Linked DNA regions of Saccharomyces cerevisiae S288C. The gene in region 1 interacts genetically with each later gene. Each region holds a gene or a part of one and is shown on either strand. Other genes may lie near its edges.

Region 1 (2,936 bases):
CATGGTCACGGTACGCAATGTGGAAGGGGCTTGTTGTTGTTGGCAGCGATTTTGAGCGTAAAAGTAGTCTTGGGAATTTTGCATAGCGGGAAATTATTGAGCAGTTGAAGAGAGGTTAGTGAGACCGTAAGATCACAAAGGAGCAGATAAGACATTTAAAAATGGGAAGGGACAGCCAGGAAAAAAAAAGATCTCTTTTTATACCCGCTGAGGCGGAATCGGGCGAAACGGGCGATGTTCCAAAACAGTAACGATATGTTATGGCTATTTCCTTTTTGGGACGGATGACTTCCCAAAATGGCGACCGCGGCGGGTAGTGGAGCCCGTTTGGGCTCAGCGCGAGGTAACAAAAAAAAATTTCAAATGTTGGCCAAAAAAAAACGTCAATTATTCCTATGTACGAGGTCTAAACATAAAAACATATCTACTATATTCTGACGTATTTATAATCTATTGTTCTTTCCTATCATTGGCCTACAAAAAAAAAGAGAAGCATGCTCTTAGTTGGAAGTATTCTTACCAATGTCAGAAAGACCGCCGCGACGTTCGACGGCAATGATGTTGGCAGAAGGAACGTGATCCTTGGGGAATAAGTAGCCGGTCTTGACACTCTTGTTGACACGGTTGCTCATTGAGCACAAAGTGTCTTGTAGGACGACATCGTCAAGGAAGAATTGCTTTGGGTTAAGGCCTTGGTCCATGGTCATATAGTTTTTTTTTATTGCTGATGTGGTTTGTAGTTATATATATACGTATATTATTTTTCTTATAAGTAAAAGAACAAGAAAGGAAAGGAATGAAAGAAATAGTTTCGAAAAGACAATAGGAAACGCCAAAAATTCATGGCCTTTTATATGCTGGGAATCAGTTGCCTTCGTATCTCGTTTCTCGTTGCTGTGGAAACGAGATACGAAGGCAACCTTTACGTATTTGCCCTAATGTTTCCTTTTCGAGACCTTTGACACATCTTCTTACCCGAAACTAAAAACCTATATTAAAGTGCTTTTCAACCCTTTGAGTAAGTCCGATTTTTATTTAAACCCTTCTTTTTTTTTTTTTTTTTTTTTTTTACAGGTTATAAGGATCTTAAAAATCTGGGAAACTTGACACTTTTCTCGAAAGTTTATTAAGTTAAAGAAACACCACAAAACTCTAACGAATATAAAATAAACAAGAAAAGAATAGAAAGGCTTGGCTCTAGTTTTTGCATGCGTTCAATGAATTGCACTACGAACAACACCAACAATACCGGCCAAAACACGAAAAACAGTCTTGGCTCCAGCTTTAATTCCAGTAATTATACTTCTTATAGATTCCAGACATGTCTCACCGACCAGATTATTTCTGAGGCGCAGACGTGGTCACTTTCATCCCTCTTCAACTTCTCGTGGGTTGTGTCCTACTTTGTTATGGGTGCCTCTCGTATGATCTTCAGGTACGGTTGGTATCTGGCAACTTTATCGCTTTTAAGGATTCCGAAGTGGATCTTCTTCAAGTTACACCATGTTCAGTTCACTCTTTCCTTTTGGCTGATCCTGTTTGCCCTAGCCGTCATAGTCTTTGTGACTTACACCATCATGAAGGAGAGAATTCTATCCCAGTACAAGAGGCTGACCCCGGAGTTCTTGCCGCTGGAAAATACAGGTAAATCTGGCTCCAGCGCCAATATCAATGCAGCTTCCACTCAGTCAGCCAACGCGCCACCCGCCATAGGTTCCTCTACCACGGGTGCAAGCTCGATTATAGACTCAAAAAAGCATTCATTGAAAGATGGCAACGAAAACGAAACCTTTCTTTCATCTTACCTTGACCAATTTCTCAGCGCCATCAAAATCTTTGGCTATCTGGAAAAACCAGTCTTCCATGACCTGACCAAGAATATGAAAACTCAAAAAATGGATGAGGGTGAGATTTTACTGTTGGACAGTACTATTGGGTTTGCCATCGTCGTTGAAGGCACCCTGCAGTTATATCATGAAGTAGATCATTCAGATAAGGACCATGGCGATGAAACTGACCACAGTGACACGGATGGTCTTGACGACCAGGATAGAGATGAAGAAGACGAAGAAGAAGATGATGACATTGATAACTACGACACCAAATCTTGTTCTTCTAACCTCATCGATGAAGAAGATGAATCCGTTGGTTACATTCATCTGAAAAATGGACTGGGAAATTTTCAACTGCTAAATACAGTCAAGCCAGGAAACCCGCTGACCTCCCTCGTGAGCATTTTAAACTTATTCACGCATTCCATGTCCTCGTATGGCAACAGTAACTTTCCCTCTGAGTTATCGTCACCTATAGACACAACGGTGTCGGTCAACAATATGTTCTGCTCATCAGAGCAGAACTTCTCCAACACAGATTCCATGACAAACTCCACCAACAGCTTTCCAACGTTCCCCTCTTCAATGCCTAAACTTGTCGCCCGTGCGGCTACAGACTGCACAATTGGTATTATCCCACCTCAATCGTTTGCCAAATTAACCGCAAAATACCCACGGTCTGCTTCCCATATCATACAGATGGTTCTCACCAAGCTATACCATGTTACGTTCCAAACTGCTCACGACTACTTAGGTTTAACAAAGGAGATCATGGATATCGAAGTTTTACTAAATAAATCCATCGTTTATGAATTGCCTTATTATTTGAAAGAGGCCGTTATTCGTAAGTTTAAAACTGTAGATAAGTCGAGCGGATCGGCTGATTTAGAACCGAAACCCAAAAATAGTAATGCTTCCTCTAAATTGAAGAAACCGCCCAAAGCGAAGCCATCTGATGGTATCATTCAATCGCTTAAGATTGCTAACGCCAACGCTAACACAAGTTCGAATTCCCTTTCACTGAAACCAGAATTCACCCACCATCCAAGTTCGAGACATGTCGTACTGGGTTCAAGAGACCAATTTAATCCTGGTGATTTACTG
Region 2 (3,981 bases), on another chromosome or scaffold:
GATCCGGCTTCATCGTCGACCCTAAATATCTCTTTCATTTCGAAGAGAAGTTTGTCCAAACACCAATCTATCATCTGGGCTCTCGTACTTGTATCGCAGTCGAGTAGCTCGCAGGCACCTTCGCGCAATTCCATAGTGAGTGCTGTATCATGCTCTGAGATATTGCCGCCGGAAAAGAGCGCATTGTAGTTTTGTTTAATTTTGGACAAAGTGTCTCCTTTCAGTCTTGAAATGGAGCTCAACAAATAGTTTATCTCGTCCAATGATTTGTAAGAGATGAATGTGTTTTCAGCAAGCGAACACATTATCTTATAAGGGGACACCATTTTTTTGAATGAGCCCTGTGAGAGTAATTCATTGCATTGTATGTAACTGTCTGTCAATATCTTTAAATTTTGGAAAAGAGTCAAAGAGTGGGTGAGGTTTTTCTTGGCAATGTCCAGGTACGAGATACCTTCTGTCAGATTCGATATCGTCAACTCGGTGGAGGCTGAGACATCTTGAGTTTCTTTGAAATCTTGGAAAACTTTCCTCAGAGAAGCCTCTATTTCAGCGGAATTTTTAGGGTGTTCCTTCAATTCATTCTCTTCTTTGAGAATATCCTCTTGCAATTGCTTTTTGTAGCTTCTGGTAATACTGATCAGTTCATCTATGTTGTTCAGGGATTCTTTTGAAAAAAGTATATTGGTAATATCTTCCAGCGGGTCATAATCTACCGTACCTTCCAGCATTGTCCTTCTGAGAAAACAAAAATGGAAGATGTTGTGAAAATGCAGTAAGTGACAATAAGCTAGCGACTTTTCAATGATCGCAGATTAAGTATATATACACTTTAGGTCTCCTTCTCTTCTTTACTAGCTACGAAAAAACAAAGAAAAAAAAAACAAAATAGAGGGAAAAAAGATATACGTATAAAAATATGCTCCAGGGGAGGTTCGAACTCTCGACCTTCAGATTATGAGACTGACGCTCTTCCTACTGAGCTACTGAAGCACTATTTCTTGTTCCAACCGAGGAATAATACTAGACCTGTAGAAAAGTACCGCTTATCTAATATCCAACTTTTTCTTCTGTTCCCTTTAGTGAATTCAAGATGAAGGAACATAACAGAACGGAAAACAAAAAAAAAGGGAAGAAAAAAGATATCACCACCAATTGGCACGCTCGCAACGGTTTCGGGCCAGATTCATGGCCCTGTGGGGTAGAAGTGCCTACAGACAAAAAACCGTTACGTCCCGCCTCACCAAGCATCGACACACAAGCCCTCTCAACCTCCTTAATTTCTTTATCTTTTTTTCCCTTCACCTCTGTGCTCTTTTTTTAGCCACAGCTGTGCATTACGCTTGCTTTGCTTGTTTTGTTCTCTTTCGCCATGCCATATTACTACTTTTCTACTTACTGGCACGAGGCCGCGCAAGCCAGATCCAAGCACGCCAGAAAGTGCGGTGTACTGGTGCAACCTTTTATCGATTTCTCATCATATCGCTATCGCAACGGGCATGGGCGACGAAAAAGCCAATCTAAAGCGTTGTCTTCCTCGTTCCTCGCGCACGCGATTTTGCGTTCTGCATAGGAAGCCGAAGTCGAACAAGAAGCAGGCAAAGTTTAGAGCACTGCCCCTCCGCACTCAAAAAAGAAAAAACTAGGAGGAAAATAAAATTCTCAACCACACAAACACATAAACACATACAAATACAAATACAAGCTTATTTACTTGACATCGCGCGATCTTCCACTATTCAGCGCCGTCCGCCCTCTCTCGTGTTTTTTGTTTACGCGACAACTATGCGAAATCCGGAGCAACGGGCAACCGTTTGGGGAAAGACCACACCCACGCGCGATCGCCATGGCAACGAGGTCGCACACGCCCCACACCCAGACCTCCCTGCGAGCGGGCATGGGTACAATGTCCCCGTTGCCACAGAGACCACTTCGTAGCACAGCGCAGAGCGTAGCGTGTTGTTGCTGCTGACAAAAGAAAATTTTTCTTAGCAAAGCAAAGGAGGGGAAGCACGGGCAGATAGCACCGTACCATACCCTTGGAAACTCGAAATGAACGAAGCAGGAAATGAGAGAATGAGAGTTTTGTAGGTATATATAGCGGTAGTGTTTGCGCGTTACCATCATCTTCTGGATCTATCTATTGTTCTTTTCCTCATCACTTTCCCCTTTTTCGCTCTTCTTCTTGTCTTTTATTTCTTTCTTTTTTTTAATTGTTCCCTCGATTGGCTATCTACCAAAGAATCCAAACTTAATACACGTATTTATTTGTCCAATTACCATGCCTAAAGAGACCCCTTCCAAAGCTGCTGCCGATGCATTGTCCGACTTGGAAATCAAAGATTCCAAGTCCAACCTTAACAAGGAATTGGAGACATTGAGAGAGGAAAACAGAGTAAAGTCAGACATGCTTAAGGAGAAATTGAGCAAGGACGCTGAAAATCACAAGGCTTACTTGAAATCTCATCAAGTTCACCGTCACAAACTTAAGGAAATGGAAAAGGAGGAACCTTTGTTGAATGAAGACAAGGAGAGAACTGTTCTTTTCCCTATCAAGTACCATGAAATCTGGCAAGCCTACAAGCGTGCCGAAGCTTCTTTCTGGACCGCTGAAGAAATTGATTTGTCTAAGGATATCCATGACTGGAACAACAGAATGAACGAAAACGAGAGATTTTTCATTTCCAGAGTTCTTGCCTTTTTCGCCGCTTCTGACGGTATTGTTAATGAAAACTTGGTTGAAAACTTCTCCACCGAAGTCCAAATTCCAGAGGCAAAGAGTTTCTACGGTTTCCAAATCATGATTGAAAATATTCACTCTGAAACTTACTCCTTGTTGATCGATACTTACATCAAGGACCCTAAAGAAAGTGAATTCTTGTTCAATGCCATTCACACCATCCCAGAAATCGGTGAGAAGGCCGAATGGGCTTTAAGATGGATTCAAGACGCTGACGCCTTGTTTGGTGAAAGACTAGTTGCCTTTGCCTCCATTGAAGGTGTCTTTTTCTCCGGTTCCTTTGCCTCCATTTTCTGGTTGAAAAAGAGAGGTATGATGCCCGGTTTAACCTTTTCCAACGAATTGATCTGTAGAGACGAAGGTTTGCACACCGACTTTGCATGCTTGTTGTTCGCCCATTTGAAGAACAAACCAGACCCAGCCATTGTTGAAAAAATTGTCACCGAGGCTGTGGAAATTGAACAAAGATACTTCTTGGACGCCTTACCAGTTGCTTTGCTAGGTATGAACGCTGACTTAATGAACCAATACGTTGAGTTCGTCGCCGACAGACTGTTGGTTGCTTTCGGTAACAAGAAATACTACAAGGTCGAAAACCCCTTCGATTTCATGGAAAACATCTCCTTGGCCGGTAAGACCAACTTCTTCGAAAAGAGAGTTTCTGACTACCAAAAGGCTGGTGTTATGTCCAAGTCGACTAAGCAAGAAGCCGGTGCTTTCACCTTCAACGAAGACTTTTAAGAGTATCTCTCTATATATTTCTTTTTACGCAGTCTCTTCAATCTCTTTATGTGGGCTTTCGCACCTCTTATTTATATATATATATATACACTGAATCATATAAACTTTTTTTTATATTGAATCTAATATATTATCAAACGGAAACTTCGGCTGAATTTCATACGTATATTGATTAAAGTGGAAAGGGCATCGGAAAAGTAAGAAAAGCTTAAAAAAATTGAAAAAAAAAAAAAAAAAAATAAAAAATAAAAAATAAAAAAACCTATACAATACATACATATGTATATGAATATAAACCTGGAACGATGTGTCTTTAAAAATAGTTGAACGAACTACTCGGACATACCCCTACATCACTTAAGGATGTCTACTTTCATAAGAGGTCCCATCTGCGGTACAGACAACTGCCCCTCACGGCTTTGGCGTATCATTGATGGGAGAAGAACCTGCCAATATGGTCACGTTATGGAAGGTGACGTGGAATTTAACGACGATGAAGA

Evidence for each region.
Region 2: of HUG1 (region 1) and RNR2, a mutation in one rescues a mutant of the other (synthetic rescue), as found in Saccharomyces cerevisiae (one study listed by BioGRID).

Annotation. Positions count from the first base shown.
Region 1 is NC_001145.3:156,531-159,466, reverse strand, and holds HUG1 (Hug1p), read right to left. Parts: upstream 708-2,936; coding exon 501-707; downstream 1-500. Other genes in the region: ribonucleotide reductase inhibiting protein SML1, read right to left, coding at 1-84; NTE1 (lysophospholipase), read left to right, coding at 1,209-2,936. UniProt on the Saccharomyces cerevisiae protein: Involved in the MEC1-mediated checkpoint response to DNA damage and replication arrest.
Region 2 is NC_001142.9:390,123-394,103, forward strand, and holds RNR2 (ribonucleotide-diphosphate reductase subunit RNR2), read left to right. Parts: upstream 1-2,281; coding exon 2,282-3,481; downstream 3,482-3,981. Other genes in the region: VPS53 (Vps53p), read right to left, coding at 1-731; YJL028W (uncharacterized protein), read left to right, coding at 1,189-1,524; YJL027C (uncharacterized protein), read right to left, coding at 1,711-2,127; RRN7 (Rrn7p), read left to right, coding at 3,845-3,981. UniProt on the Saccharomyces cerevisiae protein: Provides the precursors necessary for DNA synthesis. Catalyzes the biosynthesis of deoxyribonucleotides from the corresponding ribonucleotides. RNR2 provides the diiron-tyrosyl radical center.